Linked DNA regions of Macaca mulatta. The main gene of each other region encodes a partner of the protein of the gene in region 4 in a complex. Links are inferred from orthologs where the notes say so. Each region holds a gene or a part of one and is shown on either strand. Other genes may lie near its edges.

Region 1 (4,272 bases), on a different chromosome or scaffold from region 4:
CTAATCTGCCCTCCAAAAGAGGAACAGGTAAGGATTATCCCACCTGACGATATTTCTAAATAGCCGACATTCCGCACTCAGTCAAAAAGATTCCGTTTACAGCTAGGGTGAGTTCACGACGCGTTGGTATAAGTAACCCTACTACTTAGCATCCTTCCAGTTGTATTGCCATATTTGCTTGCACATTTTTAAAAGAATTTTTTCGTTCGGCTGCCGAAAAGGAATAAATTTCTTTTTCCCAGAATGCTCCGATCATTTACGTGCTGGACGTTCTAACTGTAAGCACTTTCTATTTACATATCTCCGCCCACTCCCTTCCGCCAGACAACTACCGTAATAACCAAAATAGAAGCGATACCAAGTATCTTACGGTCTGCAGAACTAGAAAATAACGTTGCTTCTTTTTTTTTCTTCAGTAGTTTCGCCATTTCAATTGTGCCCTGAAAACTGTATATGTCTTAATCTTACTACAAAACATATTTTATTACAAACCACTAAATACAATGCGGATAATCCCAGACTCAAGACGTAATTATTCCAACACATATCCTCCAGCAGAAGCAGTTTCCGAGGGGAGGACCGAAGCCTATGCCTTCCTTCTTCCAGGAATACGAAGCGGCCCTTGCCCCTGTAGCCTTCGTCCTTAGGTTCCCGTCATGAAGGTGCTCAGAAAGGCTTCTTTTTCAGCCCAAAGACGGTGACGAATAAAGTCATTTCAGTGACAGCTGGAAGGGCACTACCGAGGCAAGTGGTAGATTCAGAAACCCGTTCAATATAAATACCCAAATCTCCAAACCAGAGACCCCACCCCTGAAAGTGTAGGACAGGTGGCATGGGGTAGGGAATGAAAATTCAAAAGACTACAGGATGTTAAGTGGATCTGGTATCTCCCACATAGAGGAAAGGGCTGGGTAGGGGAAAAACCCTCAGGTTTAGGGTCAGCCTTCCTCCCTCATTCCCGAATATTGGATGCTACCACACCTGCAGAAGACAAAAATGTACCAATACGTAGTGCACTCCCAACGCTCGAATATGAAGAAGGACAGGGCCACGGATGCACTACAGTGAGCCCCAATGGCTTGAGAAGGCACCACAGTTAAGGAAAGTCTTTGGATCGACAGATAGTGAGGGGTCAGAAAAGGCCAAAGGCCAGTGGTGGGGTTGGCATCTGCATTCAGGTTCATCGTTTGCTCCCTCACCATATTGCAAGGGCTAGAGTCAGCATCCCCGACTTCTGAATTTTAGGACAGTCATGTGAGGAGAGACCAGAAGTGACTGCGCAGATGGGATCTCAGGCTACCCTACTCCATATCTAGGGGCCAGCCTGGATCCTTCAGATGAGAGGTAAGAGTAGGCTCTCCTGCTATGCCACACAGGAGTGCTGACAGCGACTTGATATGCGCTGGAATCAGCCTCCAGTGTCCTGGTCCTCCTGGTCCACAATTCTCTGACCCATGTGCCTGGCTTCCGTTGCCTCTTCTGAGTTCCCAATGTGCTTTATATCTTTCGTTTTTTGCCAGAGTCTTGCTCTGTCGCCCAGGCTGGAGTGCAGTGGCACGATCTCGGCTCACTGCAACCTCTGCCTCCTGGGTTCAAGCAATTCTCCTTCCTCAGCCTCCTGAGTAGCTGGGATTACAGGAGTGCACCGCCACGCCCGACTAATTTCTGTATTTTTAGTACAGACAGGGTTTCACTATGTTGGTCAGGCTGGTCTTGAACTCCTGACCTCAGGTGATCCACCTGCCTCGGTCTCCCAAAGTGCTGGCATTACAGGCGTGAGCCATCGCACCCTGCCTGTGCTATCTTTACACACTCCCATAGCACACTGCTTATCACACTGAATTACAGATGTGTATCTACCTCCTCATGGTTAAAAAAAAAAAAAGTGGAGTTTTTATTATTACTATTTATTTTGTAGACACGGGGTCTAACTATGTTGCCTCCTGCGCGGGCCTCCCACAGTGCTGGGATTACAGACGTGAGCCAACGTGCCTGGCCAAAAACTGTATTTTACTCTCATTTCGGAATTTTAAGTGCCTAGTAAACAGCAGGATTTAGCACATGGTTGAAGATCTTTGAACTGGAGAGACTGGCTACAGCAGACACTATTGTGTCAGGTGGCTGAAGGGAGTCCTGATAGAAATGGGTCGTGTGGGAAAGGTGGGCAGGCAGAAAGGATACAGATGAGGCTCTGGGTGCTGTTGAACATGGAGACTCCTGAGAGGAAACCGGCCAGCTCCACTGCAAAGAGGCCCAGGGTGACAGAAAGCGCGGCCACCAGCCTGCAGAGAGGAAGTGGACTGGCCCAGGCCTTTGGACTTCTTCTAAGACCCCTCCACTCCCACCACCTCTTCGTTCTGGCCACCCCGTCCCAAGAGCTCACTGAATGTCCTGCTTGTCATACTCCTCGGGGGTGAACCTGAGAGGCAGGCAGGCCTGAATGTTGCTGTCCTGGGAGCAGGGCAGAGAGGAAGAGAAGTGAAAAAGGGGCAGGCTGCTGGGCAGGCCTAGGGACGGCGGAACACGAGAAAACCCAAGTGGGTAAGACACTGGGAGAGGGGCAGGGTGGGGCGGGGACGACTCCGAGATGGGAATGGGGGCGGACGGAGGGCAGCCGTGGGTCTTACCCGGGACCAGAATAAAGTGATGACGACCACCAGATGCGCCAGGAGCGTCAGGAAGCGAGAGGGCACAAGCCCTGAGACCCGGCCCATGGCCCTTGGGAACAAGAGCGGCGGTCTCTGAGGCTGGAAGTTCAGAGACTGCGACTCCCGCAAGTCCACCAGCAAGCGGACAAATCTAGACGAACTCCTCCTTTCCGCCAGCTCAGGCACCGCCCAGTTGCCTTGGTAACCGCGTACGCGGGCGTGCTGCCGCGTTCTCGGAAAACCTCGCGAGAGCAGTACATTCTCCATCTGCTGTGGGTCTTTCAGGGCTAACTCAGGTCAGGGGTACCCGAAGGAGCTTCTAACCCAATGGCTGGGTACCCGTGCGCAGCCAGGCCCTTTGTTTCTCAGAGGGTGAGGGGTGGCACAGCCCCGCAGCGCCCGATCTGCCCACGCAGGGCCGACGAACGGAAACCCACCCTGGCCTAGCCTGGGGACACCTCTGCTTCCGCGGTTGCCCACGCCGGGAGCGGCCCCCAGCCCCAGCTACGCTGCCCAGTTGTGGATCACTTGAGATCACTCCCACCGCCACGCCGGGCTGAGGTCCCCGCCATGCCGAAGACTCACACCCGCTCCCCTTCCTCCTCTCCTCATGCCTTTAACTTCCCACCAAGCTGGGCCTGAGAAACAAGGGACCCGAACGTGGAGAGGCCGGTGTTCCTGGACTGCTCGGCAGTTACAGATTGTCACAGAGCCCCTGGTTGTCTGAGGACCCTAGGCCTGAACCTTCCTTGAGGAAGACTGATTTCTCTCAGACTACTTTGCTCAGTTTGGTGAAGGATTTGCAGAGTGCAAAAAGTGGTCAGCGTCCTTAAACTAGCGTGGGAATAAGAGCAAAGCAAGGTGGCTGGAAAGGTGGGAGTGGACGAAGGGAATGGTACAGTCCCTGCGTCTCTGGGAGGCTTGGAGCCTACGGGAAGGGAAACTCAACTTAGATTTCTTTATCTCTTGGAGGTGCTGGACCTCCGACATTGCCCAGCTACAGTCCAGGAAGCTCTTATCACCGGCGACGTCATGACCTTTGGGCCTCAGCGCAGGTCCCTGCAGATCTGAAAGTTCTTCTCTAATTGCTCAGTCAAGTCCCATCCTCAAGGAAACTCCCGGCCCATTTCCCAGGAGAACAATATCTTCCTACTTCCCACTCGACGTCTCAGTGCCTTTAGCCAGACTAAAGTACAAGCCCAAGAGGCATTTCTCATTCCTTCAACAAATATTTTTATATATTTATTTATTACCTAGTAATAGTATTCTAGTCAGGGAGATCAACAACAGACATGCAAACAAATAAATCCGTAAGATAATAGGTGCTACAAACAGGGATACGCGGGCCAGGCACAGTGGCTCACGCCTGTAATCCCAGCGCTTTGGGAGGCCCAGGAGGGCGGATCATCTGAGGTCAGGAGTTCGAGACAAGCCTGACCAACATGCTGAAACCCCATCTCCACTAAAAATACAAAATTAGCCGGATGTGGTGGCGCGTGCCTGTAATCCCAGCTACTCGATTACTACTACTCGATTAGCTACTAAGGCAGTGGAATCGCTTGAACCCGGGAGGTGGAGGTTGCAGTGAGCCGTGCCATTGCACTCCAGCCTCTGCAACAAGAGC
Region 2 (4,010 bases), on a different chromosome or scaffold from region 4:
TAATAAGGATGAAATGTAAAAGTACACAAGAGTTCTCTAATAAACAACTCCGGTCATTGCAAACTGAAAGAAAACCAAAACAAACAAACAAAAAATCTGTGAAATATTTTAGTAACTAAAAAAAGTTCTCTATAAGTTAAAAAATGCTTTATATGAAATAAAAAATAGAAGTAGAAAATGAAAAATGTAATGGGATTTTCTTTTCTCCTCATTCTTTCCTGATCATTTCCTTTAAATGAGTTTCTAAGGAAATCAAATGACAACGAAATTTACTTTTTATATGAACACTGTTGCTAAGAAAACATAAATCAGTACTGCATGGTTTTAATATGCAGCTTGCCATCATCTTATGCATTGGTACTTGTTAATATATTCCTACTGACAACATCAAAATAACTATGATTTACTGCACACTTATTTTGTGCTAACTCTAGACATATGTTCTCTTTAGTCCTCACAATAACATGTCTGGCTTAGCAGTATGTGCCCCAATTTGTGTATGAATAAACTGAGGCTCTGACAGTTTGCATGATTTGCCCAAGGTTATAATTATTAAATGTCACATCCAGAACTTGACCCCAAGACTCTGATTCCCAAGTCCTCCCTCACTCCACTCTACCCCTCTGTCTCACCATTTATTCTTACTTTTGTAATGGCATCAATAATTATTCTATAGAATAATTATTGAACTGGAAATATTTACAGTTGAAAGCTGTGAAGCACTGGTGAGAAAAGGCTTAGGCTACATTAAGTCAATTATTTATTTTACTCAGTGCAGAAAACCAAACATTTTTTTCAAGGAAAGTACTGACACCTTCATCTGAATAAATGGTCTATTCTTAAGAGTCATCAGTGGATCAGAGCCATACCTGTAGGTTGAGATACAATGCATCTCAACTCCATATTGGTTGCTTAAAAAATCATGCAATATATATGCCCTACTCCAGGATGGCAAAAACATGGGTTTATAGGAAGAGTGGCCCACGTATTTCTTTGCCAAGGAATATGTGGACCTGAGTTCCAACTTCAGCTTTTTTTATTAGCTGTGTGATCTTGGAACAATGTCCTCCCTTCTCTGAGACACATTTTTTTTTTTTTTTTTGTCTGCAACATTGCAATCATACTTCCTACCTTGAAGGATGATTAATTTATAAGGGCTAAATGATGAAATGTGTGTAGCAAAATGCCTAGCACAGACTGGGCTCTCAATATTGGTAGGTTTTGTTAATAAGAAAAAGTGATTGTGGGGAGGGAAAGTGGAAAAAAGGAATGAGGAGGGAAAAGAGCTTGGGGGATAGAAGAGGAGTCATGAAAAAGACCTTAGGTGATTTTCAAGCCCACCCACCTTTGGCTCCAATCTTCAACCCCCAGCTACCATAACTCATGTTCCATCTCTCGTTGCCTTCAGCCAGGCCCAGGGCAGTTGCCTTGCTGTTTCCATGTATGGTGCTTCTGCAACCTCCTGCACTTCTACCCAGGAGTATTTTCTTCCTCACACCGTGAGAATATTTTTCTGTTCCATCCTGGAGCTTGGACACCTGGGGAGGTGCCACATACATTCTTTTGGAATACATTGTCTTATTCTATAAGTTATTCCAGCTGCAGTTTCCCTTAGCATAAGGTTAGTGACAAATAGCTTTATAGAATCATTGAATCAGCTCAATATAATATACATTGGCTTTGAAGAGTACATATGGGGACCATATTTGAGCTGTGTTATATGATATATGGCCAGTGCATTTACACAATGTGGTAAGTGCTGGAAGCCCCTCCCTGGATGTCATCCCGCTGTGCTTTCAGTGTTTTATAAATCTCTTATGGCACTTAGCTCATTGTACTCTTATCATGTGTTTATAGGTCTATTTTCCCAGCAAACTCTGAGCTTCTGACCTGGTCTAATTTATGTTTGCACCCTCTAAACTTAAGTTCATTGCCTGGTGCATTGTTGATGCTCCATAAATGTTTGAATGAATGACTCTATAAGTGGGCTCTAGGAGATATATATATTTGTGTATATATAAATATATACGGAGAGAGAGAGAGAGAGAGAGAGAGAGATTTCATGCTGGCACTGAATTTACTTGCAGAAAAGGTTATATGAAAATGCAATAGCAAACATATATCTTATTCGACTTTATTAGCTTTTCATATCACCTCTTTGCAATGAGGGGAAACAAACAGTCAGCTTAAGTTGTAGCCAGTAGATTTTCTTGAAGTCTTTGGACAGCACAGCAACTCTCAGCACTGTGGTTAGTAGCCCTTTCTCTGTCTAATACCAAGAAAAGTGTATTTCGCAGTAACTAGTGCTTCTCACCTTAAGCCAGTTTGAACTAAAAGGCCCGTAAGTGCAACATGCAGCTAATGGTTCACAGAGCTTTTCACTCAGGGCTTGTGATGAACTGGACTTACATTTCCTGCAAACCAGATACCAGATAGCAGCTCAAATCAAAGCTGCCAAGTAATGGTCTATGTTCCCATTTCAGAAAGTAAAAACATAAATAATGATGAGAGCCCCTAAATTTACAATTCATTAAATCCAGTCTCATGGTATCCGGGAGAGACTGAATTTCAAGCCGGGTAACTGAAAACAGGAAATCATTGTTGCAGCCCAAAGTCCGGTTAGGGACTGATTTACCTTAAGAAACTTTACAAAAGGCACTTTGCAGATTCTGCTTTCTAGGATGGAAGTGGAGAGAGATGGTGCTGTAGAATCTTTTAAAAGGGTCCGGAGGGAAAGGCTGAGTGTTGGAGATGCCCCTGGGCTCCTCCCTGGGAAGCTGCAGCCATGTCTTGGAGCAAAAACACCAGCTTAGCAACCCGTTCCTAAGGAAGGTCACTCGGTGGCTTTTTTTTTTCTTTTAAAGTGACAGGTTACTTCCAGTAGTGGAGTACAAGCATGCTGGGTAAGCAGAGACGCACAGCCTGCTGGAGAAGGACTGAGAGAAATCAACATGGGCAGCACTGGAAATTAGATTAAGCCTTAAGAGCCGCCCCTCCCTCATGTCATCTGGTTGTCTTGCATTTCCAATGAAGAACAGGCTCAGAGGTGGGGCGATTTAGAATCTTAAAAGATCATCATTACATGGTGAAGCTGTCTAACGTGGCAGCAGCAAAAGCTCTGTGGAGGTCCTGCAGGGTACCAGCAAATGTTGCGCTCAAGTGTTTTCCAGTTAAAAGTGGAAGGTTGAATGCACAAGTTTAATTTTTGCCTATTCTCTGAATCCCACTGCAATTCCTAAAAACGGATATAAATGTTATGGCTCAAAACAGTTGAAAAGAAAAAAAAAGAGAGAGAGAGGAAAGAGGCAAAGTAGCTGGAAGAGTAATAGAATGAATGGAGCCAAGGAAACCACACTCCAAATAGACTAGTGTGTATGTGCACATGTGTTTGTGTGTATCTGTATCTGTGTGTATTTTGTGTGTACGTTTGTGTGTATGTGTATTGATTGTATTCTTGATGCTCTGGCATTTGGAGCCTTGATCCTGGAGAAACTGATTCTCCTAGGTTAGCTAATTTCTAGAGATAGCAAATGATTCCCCTGAAATATGCAAAGTCTCATATACAAGCCAACCAATCCAGAGCCCACACAACCAACCATCTCCATTTTCAAACTCTCACACACTAAGCCAATATTCCTCCTGTCCCAAGTCACCCCAGGTCCAGATACCAGACCACTATAGCCCAGAGAACACCACGATTATTCAAGCTATCTAGTCCTAAATTTACTCAGCACCCTACCCTGTGTCACCTATTCCTTCCTGGGAAAACCCTAGTAAAGGCTCTGCTCTGTACTCTGCTGTCTCCCTTCTGCCTTCTGACCAACACTGGTTCTTCCCTATGTGGTCCTGTGTGGCATTCCATGTTCTATGATTTGTATGTGTCTCCCCAAAAGCATGTATTGGAAACTTAATCCCTAATACAATGTTGTGGGGAGGCGGGACCTAATGAGAGGCAATTAGGCTGTAGGACTCTGCCCTCATGAATGTATTAATGCCATTATTGCAAGAGT
Region 3 (4,125 bases), on a different chromosome or scaffold from region 4:
GCATATAGCCCAGAGATGAAAAGTGCCTCACCCAGAATCATAAAACTGAGTAGTGGCAATCCCTGTTACACTGCCCTTTAAACACAACAGGGCGAAGTATAAACCGTTACAACCTGTCTGGAAATCACTTTGGCAATATGTATCACCAGTCATGTGGAGGCAGACCAGGTGGAACAGACAGAGCAGACAAAAGACACTGGCTCACCTGGCTAAAGAGCTTCTCCTGCCACCCAATCACAATCTCCTCCTCTTCATCTTCCTCTGGGCGGTGTCCACCTCCAAAGACAACAGAGTGAGTCAAATGCTTGAGCCGAACCAGCACCACTTCTTGCTCTGTGGTTGATTATAACCAGAGTTCCTATTCTTATATTTGCCACAAAAACCAGCTGGAATTCAGCAATTTATTAAGCACTCAACCTAGAGAAATGCTAGAGAGGCTGTATATAAGAGTTAGTATGAGTGGAAGCCAAGATTAGAACCCAAGAAGTCTTAATCACTACTCTAATTTGAGTAAAAGAAAATACCCTCCAGGAATTTTTTTGGGGGTGGGGGGGATGGAGTCTCACTCTGTCACCCAGGCTGGAGTGCAGTGGCACTGTTTCAGCTCACTGCAACCTCCATCTCCTGGGTTTAACGATTCTCCTGCCTCAGCTTCCCAAGTAGCTGGGATTACAGGCACACGCCACCAACCTGGCAAATTTTTGTATTTTCAGTAGTGATGGGGTTTTGCCATGTTAGCCAGGCTGATCTTGAACTCCTGACTTCAGGTGATCCACCTGCCCTGGCCGCCCAGAGTGCTGGGATTACAGGTGTGGGCCACTGCGCCCAGCCTCCTCCAGGAAATATCTAATCTAACTGGATATAAGAAATTGAAATTTAGGGGCTGGGCGCAGTGGCTCAAGCCTGTAATCCCAGCACTTTGGGAGGCTGAGATGGGCAGATCACGAGGTCAGGAGATCAAGACCAGCCTGGCTAACACGGTGAAACCCCGTCTCTACTAAAAAATACAAAAAACTAGCTGGGCGAGGTGGCAGGCGCCTGTAGTCCCAGCTACTTGGGAGGCTGAGGCAGGAGAATGGCATGAACCCAGGAGGCGGAGCTTGCAGTGAGCTGAGATCCGGCCACTGTACTCCAGCCTGGGCGACAGAGCAAGACTCCGTCTCAAAAAGAAAAAAAAAAAAAGAAACTGAAATTTAGATATAAGCTGAATAGCCAGCCCTTCCGCAGTCCAAACTGTCTGCGTTTGCTAGAAAATAACCCTGGCATTTTTATCTTTACTATTTCTAAAGCCATATATGTAGTATCACAAACACTGAAATTTAGGAGGCCAAGTGTCAGGAGAGGACAGTGAAGGCAAATAAATGATTTTTTAACAGAACCAAATCTGGCTGGACGCAGTGACGCGCGCCTGTAATCTCAACATTTTGGGAGGCTAAGGTGGAAGGATCACTTGGGCCCAGGAGTTTGAGACCAGCCTAGACAACAGAGCAAGACCTTTTCTCTACTAAAACTTTTAAAAAATCAGCCGAGTGTAATGGTGTGAACCTGTAGTCCCAGCTACTTGGGAGGCTGAGGCAGGAGGATGGCTTGAGCCTGGGAGACCAAGGTTTACAGTGAGCTATGATCATACCACTGCACTCCAGCCTGAGTAACAGAATGAGATTCTGTCTCAAAACAAAACACAAACAAAAACAAAGAAAACAAATCTAATCTAATACACTCTTGGCTGGCTGAGTATGCCTTTTTCAGAGACACATGTTTCACAACCCGCAAGCCCACACTCTTGCCCAGGAACAGCTCTGAACAGAAAGAGAAACAATAAAGGCAGACAGACTAGTGACCTGACACAACCACTCTGTCCTCTCCTCCTCATTCTTTCGGTTTCCCAGATAAGGAAAACCACAAGAATATAGTTGATCTTCATATGCACATTATATGTATATTTTTCAAGCAGTCCCCAGTTTAAAAATTGTTTTTTAAAGTGTTTATATGTGTATTTAGAGTTTGGGACACGTTTTCTCTTTTAAAAATGCCACAAATAGAATGTAGATTGCCAGGCAAATCTATAACGTATCAGAAGTATAGTACTTGTTATCTCACTACATTTGGCCACAATTCTGATTAGTATCAGAATTAGTAGTAGATGGCACATCATCACCATAACACCCACTGGCAGTTGGCTGAGGCCTAAAAGTGGCCAAGTCTATGAGGTCCTTCCAGAGCTCGGCAGCAGGCTGATAATGAAGAAAGTTGCTTGATGTGATTCTTTGCAGGTGAACCCTGTCAAGAAAAGCCCAAAATATTTGTTACCAGACACGCAACCAGGAGATGAACACAAAGCAAGGATTGGGGAAACAAAACGGAGGAGGTGGGGTTGCCAAGGTGTGCTGGGTGCAGACAACGGAGAGGAGGTGGGTGGGTGCGCGGTCCTATGGGGAAGACTGAGGGTGAGAGGGTGTACTGGGGACACAGGGCTCTGAGAAACTGGGAGCAACAAGGACGTGAATGGACTTGGGTGGGTCTGTAAGGGGTTCTTGGAGACTGTGAGTGGATGGGGGTACGGATAGTGAAAGAAGTGGGGAGCCCGGAGAAGAAGTGGTCGGGATTGTAAGCAGAAGTGGGGGCCTCGGAACACCGAGTTCGGGTTGGAATGATCTAAGGACATAAAACCATGGGGCCTCGGGGCTGGGGCGGTGTGACTACCGGAGGCGCAAGTTGCGCACGGGGTCCCGGGAGCGATACACTGCCTCCCCGGTGTCAGTGCTCCAGACGGTCTCCGCCATGACAGCTGCGACGCGCCGCGACTGCGCCGGAAAGCGCGCCGCTCTGTTTTCCTGGCAACAGAGACTCTGGATCGGGAGGCGACGGAGGTGCTGCGCGCGCAACCCGCCGTTCTCGTCACGGCGCCACAGTCGCAGTAGGCCACCCAGTGCAAGTGCAGCCCAAGCCTAACGCCCAAGAGGGCTCCGGGGTCCTGCCAATCACCGCTTACCATGTATGCGAGAAAAGCTCACCCAAAGCGGGACCTCGTGCGCGGTGCAAATGAGGAAACTGGCACAGCCATCAGCCCACCTCATATAGCCAGATGCAGAAATGATGATGGAGACCAGGTGATCTGAGTCTTCGCCCTCTACCTTTTCCACCATGCCACAGTTCCTTCCACTGAACGCATGAAAACTTTGGCCTGAAAATCGGTGGATGTAACTGTAAGAAATGCACCCATTATTCCCAAAGGAGTCAGGGTAGGTGATGGCCCTTAGCCAAACAAGAAAATACATTCTTGGAGGACAAAAAAGTGTGTCAGAAGATTTATTAGTCTTTGTGTTGATATTCACTGAACAAAGAAAGAAAAAACAAGGAAGTCAACAGTAAGGAAGGAAAAGATGTTATTATTGAACTAGTTCTTACCTTGTGTGTATTAGTTTTGGATCATTAAACCACTTTAGATACTGCACGGGCTTCCTGAAAAGCCAAAAAAGTGACATTAAGAAGTCATGCTTCGTTGGACTAGCAAAGGAAGGACATGCTGTAACCTCACGTCTGGCGCCCTGGCGCCTTGGGAATGTCAACATTTATCAGGCTTTTTCACATCTGGTCCTCCTCCAACAAAGTAAGCAATTGTCCCCTGAACTCAGGAATCTCATGCCAGTTTGATGATTTGGCATTGGAAGCTCTGGGTGCCATAGCCACTAGTTGTGTAACACCAACTCACCATAAATAGCACCATTTATTTATGATCTAGTACAGCTTCAGCACTTTGTTTTCATTGTCCCAAATCCTTGTAGAAGCCTCTCAAGAAGGTATTTTTGTTCACTTTAAGAGTGAAGTTCGTGAAGGCCAGGGTTTAAAGGACTTGCTAAACTTGGAAGTGGTGAAAGTACTAGGATTCCAGCCCAAGTTCTTCTGTCTTTTGAAGCCTAACCACCTTCCACTTTGCCTCATGGCTTCTCACCTACTAATTTATTCTATAAATGCACACATTTCTAACCTGGAAAATAATAATTTTAACAGATTAAAAAAAAGGCATCTTTCTAGCTCCTAAGAAATGGTCTCTCTAATGTTTCCTTTTGTGAGTAGGCAATCTGTGCCACATGCACAACAGCTGATAAAGTGGAGCTTGATTCT
Region 4 (4,010 bases):
TTAAAAGAGTCCATCATGATTATAAGGTAACAAAAAGTATTATACGGCAGATCCATAAAACAGGAGTCTAGAAATATGTATTATTAAATAAATGTTATATATTAAAAATAAATTGAATATATACAGTTTATAGAATTTAATTTTCTACAGCTTAATGAACAAATGGAACTCATTATTTAATAACATAATAAACTTTTTCCAAGGTGCTTACCAAATTTTGCTTGTTCTTCTCCAGCTTTTTCTACTTCCTCCAAAGCCAGCTCTACTTCTTGAGCTTTCATCTAAACATTTAAAAAAAGTTTATTTCAATATGCCTTTAAACTGGAATGTAAGCACTGAAAATAAAAATTTTGTTTTCTTATGCTCATTAGTGCCAGCAATGGCTGGCACATGGAGACTTTCAGTAAATATTTGTTGAATGAATAAATAATTTTTTCTCTCCTTTTTTTTCGCTTTTGAAATAGGGCCTCACTTTGTCACCCAGGCTGGAGTGCAGTGGCACAATCTCAGCTTACTGCAACCTCTGCCTCCTGGGCTCAAGCAATCTTCCCATCTCAGTCTCCTGAGTAGCTGGGACTACAGGTGCATGCCATTATGCTCAGCGTGCCATCATGCTCGGCATGCCATCATGCTTGGTGTGCCATCATGCTCAGCAAATTTTTTCGTAGAGGCAAGGTCTCACTATATTATCCAGGCTGGTCTCCAACTCCCAGCCTCAGGCAATCCTCCTGCCTTGGCCTCCCAAAGTGCTGGGATTATAGACGTGAGCCACCATGCCAGGCAATTTTCTTACTTAAGACGACAATTTCTAGATTTTTAATAGCATGAAACATTTTTGATTCTCCCTTTTACCTCAAGTCCTCAAGTCTTATATCCAGTAAAGCAACATATCTCTTTGTAATGTTTTTCCACTACTTTTTTTCTGTTCCAATTGCTATTATTCTAATGCATAATTTCAGGTTTAAACTCCTCTATAATGTGATGTTTGCAAAGCTCCGATTTCCTTCAGTTTGTCCTATATAATAGACTCAGTTTTGCCTTCCTAAGGCCTATTTTTGTACCTATCAACTGTGGTTCGAAAACGCCTTCTCAATTGCTGACAGCATAAAATACACCTTTAATGACCTCAAGAACCTATCTCAAAGTACCTACCCAAGATTTGTTTTCTCTACAGCCTGCTACAAACTTGCTGCACCGCATTTCCTCAAATGTAAAGAATAAACTTATTTCCTATCCTCAATATTTATTTATGGTAACCAACAGCTCTAGAATTCCCTTACTATCTTACCACTGCATTACCTTCCACTTACCTAAAACTACTCCTCAGTATTCATCCTCTGTGAAGTCTTCTGACACCTCTTAGATCACTTCCCCTCTTAACAAATCCCTATAGCAGTCATTGTCTGCATTTGTCATTTGGACCTCAGGATATATTTCCTTATGTTATTTTTCAACATACTCATTCTATTTCCCCTACATACCCTTTTAGAAACTTTAAGTAGAAACTAGCAATGTTTTACATACTAAAATACTTAATCTACATTTAAATATATTGCACTTTTGAGGGGTGATGTAGATATTACCAAGTATTTTCACAAAGATTACTTTATATAAGAACAGATTTTTATAGTTCCTCTAATAGCCAAACCTATCATTAAAACCTACTACATACAAACCTTCATTAGTGACTGAGTAATTCTGAAAAGGTGTATCACATTTTCTTGCTTTTCACTTTTTAGCTCATTTACTTCCACCTAAGTAAACAGAAAAGCAACTGTTTTATATTTTATAACCTTTAAGCAAAATATAAGAACTCTTCCAGATTGTGACAATTAATAGTTGTTTCTGAAAAAAAAATTCATATTTTATTAATAATCATAAGTTAATGTATATATCTATTATTATTGACCAAGTAAGCACCTTGGATAAGGAAATCAATAAATTATCTGCCAGTTCTTCTTGACGGGGCAGGTCATCTGGGTCAACTTTCATTATTTCTTTCCAGTTTATATTAGGTGGCATCTTGAATTCTTTCACTGTGCTCCACCTCTGTAACAAAACAGGTGGATATTAGCATTTTCAAGGTACACAGCATTATTGGTTTTCTAATAGCCTACATTTTTTGCAGATTATTTCATTATAACTTTCTTATGTTAGCAAAGAACTATGCCTTAGCCACAAAACAGACAAGTGGGCAAAATAGCCTTGATCAAAAATAGCAGTCGGCACAAACTGTCAGAGAGTGTACCGGCTAAATAAAATGTGACGGCTTCCTTGCTAACACTAATATAAGTTAGGACTAAGATTTCTGGGTCCCTTCCTCCACACCGCCTACCCACAACGCGCGCGAACACCCTAATCTTGGCAAGCGCGAGGGTCTGTGGAAGGCTGACAATGATCCTTGATTTGGAGAAGCAGAATTGGGGCTGGAAAAAAAAAAAAAAAAAGAAGCAGAAATTAACAATTGGAATGAGTGAAGTTGTGCGGCGGAAACCGGAACCGAAGTAAGGCAGGATTACGGACCCGAGGCTGGAAGGGACGGGGTAGCTGCGCTGCGGCACACGGGCCCTAAGGCTAAAGAACCTGAACGTGGAGTGACTCGCTGATCCTGCTTACAGGGATCCACCCACCTACACCAAGCCTGGCAACCAGCGGAGGTCCCTCACTACCACAACCACCAAGCTGGACAGATCCCTATCGCGGTTCCACGCGGACTCTGGGTCCAGCCAAATGGTCCCCAAGGAAGCCAAAGCGGCAGCGGCTGCTAAGCGACACCATCCCTAACTCCGCCGGGGCCAGAAGAAGATCCCGGATGCAAAGAGAGCCTACAATTCACGACCGTGGGTGATGCTTTACGTTTAGATTCTCCGCCGGAGTCCCAGGACTCGGTGTTCAGGATGATGAGAAGGCGTGGAACGAGGACTCCAAATCCCAGAGTGCAGATGTGCCTGAGGTTTGTGCATGCTGGGAACTGAAGTCCCTGAGAAGAGGAGATAAGGCGCTCCCGGCGTGCAACGCGGAAGGCTGCGACGGTACCGGGGCGGCGGGGAAGGACCGAGAGGCGGGAGGCGCAGTGGCTGAGGCGCCTACGAGCTGGTGGCCTGAACGAGGTAGACCATGACTGTGGCTTTAGTGGCGTCACTCGCTGGGCCGCTCTTCATGAGGTTTTCCTAAGCCATCCCCTGGCGGAACCGCTTCCAGGTGAGGTCGAGCTGTGGGTCAGCGTATCAGGAGGAGTTGAGGGCAGCAGTCTGGGTTAGAGAAGCTTCTGCTATTGGGGCCGTAGGGCCTGGCCCCATTCTGAAAAAGTGGAAACACCCTGCCTTCTCTTCAGGCGTTTGCAGGCGGCGTCCAAGGTAGTGCCTTCTGTAAGAAGGAAAAAACAAAAAGTTTTAGCCTTGTTTAGTATCAGAATCTTTCTTGGTAGAGTGAGAGCCGCGCAGCCGTGATCCTCGTTTGGGGGCGAGCGAAGAATTGACAAGAGGTCTCGGCATCCTCTGACCCCGCCAGCCTTACCTGTAGCACCATTCCCTTCGCAGATGGTGGGACTTGATGGTTGTGGAGCTAGTATAAAGGGAAGGCTCTAGAGAGGAGAGGTTAGTGCTTGTCCGGGCCACTGCCGGGGGTGGAGAGAGAAGGTACCCGAGGACTCACCTGTACTATTGTCACTGCTTGGTTACCTAGGGTGTCCTTCCATGAAAGCGCCTTCTCTGGTGTTTACCACGCTTACTTGTGCAAGTTTTGCTCATCTGCTCATAGCCATACTGGAGTGCGATACACCTCTAACTAACTTTCCTAAGAAGCTGTAGATTTAAATCTAAATGACATTTCCAACTATCTGTACCAGTGCTTCTCATCTTTCTTTTTTTTTTTTTTTAACGCTGCTTTAAAAAAAATTTTACTATACTTGATGGTAAATTTTCCTTTCGAAAATAAGTAATGAATTTCTTTTTAAACTCCCAATTTGGGTAAAATAAATAGCTCAGTACAAAATAAAAATATACTGGTTT
Region 5 (4,097 bases), on a different chromosome or scaffold from region 4:
TGTTTATGGAGGGGCAGAAACCTAGCAGGCTGGGGCTGAGGGGTGAATGGAAGGTGACCCCTGTAGAAGGGACATGTAGACAATTCTTTACAGAATTCTTCCAACTGTCTTTCCACCACCCCTAAAGGCAGTGACATGAGACAGTAACTCTGGGACAAAAACACTGTGGAAGGATTATGCTGTTTGTTTTAAGATTGTTTCCATGCCACTATCACCTTACCCTTTTAAAAAATAAATCATCATCTACACAGCAATCAGTGTAATTTTCTAAAATTCAAATGTGACGGTGTCATTTCTTTGCTTAAAATTCTTCACTAGCTCCCAATCACACACTGAAAAAAATATCAAGTCCTTACCACTGAGGTCCAAGGCCATTTATGAAATGTCCCCTTCACACCATACACTGTGTTCCAGCCATGTGAAACTACCTCCAGGCCTTCACATGTGCCACGTCCTCTCTTGCTTTTGTATCATTACACATATATCCCCTCTCCTGAAAAATGTCCTTCCTCCTTTGTCACTCTAACAAACTCCTCATTATCCTTTGAAGGCAAGTATCTTCTCTAGAGAGCATTCGCACCTTGAAGGGCGGTGAAGCACTTCTCTTCTGTGCTCCCAGGGTGCCTGAATCTTTGTAACTCCCTCCACCTCAGCCCTGAATTTTCATCCTGGTTAAATGTTCTGTCTCCCACCAAACTGCTAGCTTTGGAGGCCACGCCAATGCTCTCTATAGTTATGTATCTGCCACTATGAAAGAAAAGAGGAGAGAGAAGAGAAAACACGAGAAGCAAAGCAAAGCGAAGCAGTAGCAACGGTCCTAGAGTAAAAAAGACTCAGGTTTGACCTCCAGTGTCACCACTTACTGATGTGTGGCATTGGGTAAGCTACTTAATTTCTAATCCTTGGTTTTTCCTTGTCTGGGAATTTAAAATGGCACCTGTTTTAGTACTGCAAGGAGAAAATACCAAAAAGCAAAGTAATGAGTACACTGCAATAAAATTACTTTATGTCCAGTATTATTGTATTAAAAATAAGTAATTATTAATAAAATACAGAAATCATAGAATTATTTACTGTTAATAGCTTAATACACAACTGAATAAATACTAATATTATTTAATAACACAGCAAATACATTATAGAAATCATCTCTAATTTTTTTTTTTTTTGGAGACAAAGTCTTGCTCTGTTGCCCAGGTTGGAGTGCAGTGGCACAATCTCAGCTCACTGCTGCCTCCGCCTCCTGGGTTCAAGCAATTCCCCTGCCTCAACCTCCCTAGCAGCTGGGACTACAGTTGTGCGCCACCACGCCCGGCTAATTGTTGTATTTTTAGTAGAGATGGGTTTTCACCAACATTAGCCAGGCCGATACTGAACTCCTGACCTCAAGTGATCCACCCACTCTTGATCCTCCCAAAGTGCTAGGATTACAGGCCTGATCCACTGCGCCCAGCCATCTCTAAATCTTAATGTGTACTACAGCAAACATATGATAGAATTAATGACTAATATTTAATTAGTAACATTATCTGCGAAAATTCAGGTCGGACTTTAAAAGAAACCTCCGAATCTTATATATTCCATTATTTTACAACTTCTCCCTCACAAACCCTTTCACAGGAGCTTCTAAGAGATACTATGTAGGAAAATTAAATGGATTACACCTCATTTCATTTTATTTTACAGACCACCTGATTATCAGCCAATATGTGACTCAATATCAATGGGAGAAAAAATTGAGAGGCTTGATAATTCCCTCTTTAACCAAATGTTATCGCAAGGGAAAAAAAGACAAACAAAAATCCTGTACACAACATTCAATGAATAGATCAACAAGATTCTTCATAAGTACACAAGATTCTAACTTCATAAATATTATTCTTCATAAACAAGATTCTAAGTATGGTTTAAAAACACTTTTGGTATTTTAATTTTTTCAAGCATTCTTTAAAAAATTTCCCAGAGTACTCATAAGAAGCAATCTTCCTCCTAAACCAAGCAATAACAGTAACTGCTAATGCAACAGGTGAAAAAACTGTTGGCATCTCTTTCTCAAAAGGGAAAAACTTTATTTTCACATTAGATGTTTTCACAGGAATGCCAAACGCAGCACAACCTTTGATAAGGATGCTTAAATGGTCTACATTTTTATTCTATTTTTATGCATCTCGAAACAACCCTATTAATATAATCTGGCTCTTATAAGTTTAACAAATTGATCACCTTTTCTCAGACGTAATTAAGTAGGCTTTGACAGGTTGAAGATTCAGCCCCAGGATGACACTCTAAAAGGAAATAAACACACTCAGTACGCATCTGATTTAAAAGCATTTAAACAAGAATCGGGAGTAGGAAAGGCAAAGATTGAATTCCCTATCAGAACACCATGCTCAACTCTCCGGAGACACCGAGACCAGTGAAAGAAGCGGAAAAGTACGTTGAGGACTCCGGGAAATCGCATTCCTCCGGGACACCCGGCCCACGCTCCCCGGTCAATCCGCGATCAGCCCCCGCGCTCTCGGACTCCAGCAGCCCCGACACGCCGCCCCAGAGAGGGCCGGGCAGGCCGAGCACCCCGGCCCGCGCTCCCGCCACCAGCGAACCCACGAGGTACTTACGGAGAGGAGGAGTAGGCAGAACCGTCCGTCCCGCCCAAGCCGACACCCGGAACAGTGCAAATCGACTCCCCCGCGCCCAGCGGCGCGGGCGCTAAGTGAGGCGGCCACGAAGCCACCTTACCCGCCAGGGACCCGGGTTCGGAGAGCAAGCCACTGCTCTGTGCCGCAGTGCGGACGACTCGCGGCCTGCTGACGTCAGCGCCTGCCTACACCGCCGTTCCCATGGCGACCGACGCGTCTCGCGCGCTAGGCCCGGACCGCGGCCCCGCCCCCGCCCCCGCGCCGCCACCGCCTTCGCCTCCGCCCGGGAGAAGGGGCCGCGCGGCGCCTGCACCGGGGCCCTCAGGCTGTTGGTGGGCGCGCGCTTCGGGGACCTTACGGGCCTCCAGCCTCCGAGGCCGTGCGAGCGGGAAGGGAGTCGGAAATGCGCGGGTGCTCCCACAGAGCTTGAGTCTTCCCCGCCTTCACCTCCAAAAATACTCTTTCCGCCTTAGAATTGTAGCAAGCGCAGGGAAAAACTGACGGGGCAAAGGAAAACTGGGGAGGCTGTTATGGAAGTCGCCCAAAATAAGAAAATCAATGAATGAGGCAAATAAACAGATTTGTCACTCCCCACGCGGTCGCGCCCACAAAAGAAAACATGATTTTAAAGCGTGGAAAATGAAGTTGTACTACAGACAAAATCTTAAGAAAAAATTATGCACGATTCCTTTAGAGCTATCTCCCTGTGTGTGGAAAACAAAAGTTAAAACGCCATACTTTTCTGTACCTAACGCTCCCTCCCACTGTTCTGATTTCTGCCGCAGGCGCCATCTTCAGCTCTGAGTCACCAGGGCTGGAAAAATACTAGTTGCGCTACTCGTGGACTCATGAATACACGCCATTTCCTGTACCTACAGCCACGCGCTGTAACCTGTTGCTTCGTTTGTACAGAGAGAGAGTTTATGGAGGCCAGCTTTTCCATTCTCACTGGCATTGCCACACCTTACAAACTATATCTCTATGCCATGTGCTTCCCTAAATCCTTTGAGGAAGCAACGAGAAAGATTACTAATCCGCTGTGTACAAACTGAGCTGTTCAACTTTGCATTCTAAACCTACTCTCCTAGATTTCTATCTTGCTGTAAGCCACCACTATCTTGCTGTAATCTTGCACTATCAAGTGTCAAACACTTGCTCCCAGTGTTTTAGTAAGAACTGTAGAGTATTCTAAATGCATCTTATACCAAAGCATATTCATTCTCTCTTTTTAAATTCCTCAGGTGGGCGCTTTACCAGTCCTGTGACTCCAGTTTTGACTCTTAAAATTCCCCACACTGCTATCAGAATGTCCTGACTAAAAATGTAAATCGGATAATGGCTCTCTCTTGCTGAAAATTCTTGAAAGGCAACGTGTAAGAGAAAATGATTGCTTTGCCTAGGATACAATATGCTCCATCTCCCTGACTAATTTCATCTCTCATTAGCTTATTGTTCCAA

What was found. The genes of interacting proteins can lie anywhere in the genome.
Region 1: CEP290 (region 4) and TMEM107 share a complex: the UniProt entries of both Homo sapiens proteins name them as parts of the tectonic-like complex. The link is inferred for Macaca mulatta from reciprocal best matches to the Homo sapiens genes CEP290 and TMEM107.
Region 2: CEP290 (region 4) and CC2D2A share a complex: the UniProt entries of both Homo sapiens proteins name them as parts of the tectonic-like complex. The link is inferred for Macaca mulatta from reciprocal best matches to the Homo sapiens genes CEP290 and CC2D2A.
Region 3: CEP290 (region 4) and MKS1 share a complex: the UniProt entries of both Homo sapiens proteins name them as parts of the tectonic-like complex. The link is inferred for Macaca mulatta from reciprocal best matches to the Homo sapiens genes CEP290 and MKS1.
Region 5: CEP290 (region 4) and AHI1 share a complex: the UniProt entries of both Homo sapiens proteins name them as parts of the tectonic-like complex. The link is inferred for Macaca mulatta from reciprocal best matches to the Homo sapiens genes CEP290 and AHI1.

Annotation. Positions count from the first base shown.
Region 1 is NC_133421.1:9,692,381-9,696,652, forward strand, and holds TMEM107 (transmembrane protein 107), read right to left. Parts: upstream 2,807-4,272; 5' UTR 2,715-2,806; coding exon 2,628-2,714; intron 2,452-2,627; coding exon 2,384-2,451; intron 2,301-2,383; coding exon of another isoform or gene 2,283-2,300; coding exon 2,182-2,282; intron 1,345-2,181; exon of another isoform or gene 1,246-1,344; intron 1,079-1,245; coding exon 982-1,078; intron 737-981; coding exon 667-736; 3' UTR 412-666; downstream 1-411. UniProt on the Homo sapiens protein: Plays a role in cilia formation and embryonic patterning. Requires for normal Sonic hedgehog (Shh) signaling in the neural tube and acts in combination with GLI2 and GLI3 to pattern ventral and intermediate neuronal cell types.
Region 2 is NC_133410.1:14,515,486-14,519,495, reverse strand, and holds the start of CC2D2A (coiled-coil and C2 domain-containing protein 2A), read right to left. Parts: upstream 2,807-4,010; 5' UTR 2,636-2,806; intron 1-2,635. UniProt on the Homo sapiens protein: Component of the tectonic-like complex, a complex localized at the transition zone of primary cilia and acting as a barrier that prevents diffusion of transmembrane proteins between the cilia and plasma membranes.
Region 3 is NC_133421.1:51,768,675-51,772,799, reverse strand, and holds the start of MKS1 (tectonic-like complex member MKS1), read right to left. Parts: upstream 2,807-4,125; 5' UTR 2,784-2,806; coding exon 2,704-2,783; intron 2,281-2,703; coding exon 2,171-2,280; intron 334-2,170; coding exon 206-333; intron 1-205. UniProt on the Homo sapiens protein: Component of the tectonic-like complex, a complex localized at the transition zone of primary cilia and acting as a barrier that prevents diffusion of transmembrane proteins between the cilia and plasma membranes.
Region 4 is NC_133416.1:95,386,597-95,390,606, forward strand, and holds the start of CEP290 (centrosomal protein of 290 kDa), read right to left. Parts: upstream 2,806-4,010; 5' UTR 2,631-2,805; intron 2,526-2,630; exon of another isoform or gene 2,336-2,525; intron 2,050-2,335; 5' UTR 2,023-2,049; coding exon 1,921-2,022; intron 1,755-1,920; coding exon 1,677-1,754; intron 282-1,676; coding exon 212-281; intron 1-211. UniProt on the Homo sapiens protein: Involved in early and late steps in cilia formation. Its association with CCP110 is required for inhibition of primary cilia formation by CCP110.
Region 5 is NC_133409.1:40,602,583-40,606,679, forward strand, and holds the start of AHI1 (jouberin), read right to left. Parts: upstream 2,807-4,097; 5' UTR 2,619-2,806; intron 2,286-2,618; exon of another isoform or gene 2,224-2,285; intron 1-2,223. UniProt on the Homo sapiens protein: Involved in vesicle trafficking and required for ciliogenesis, formation of primary non-motile cilium, and recruitment of RAB8A to the basal body of primary cilium.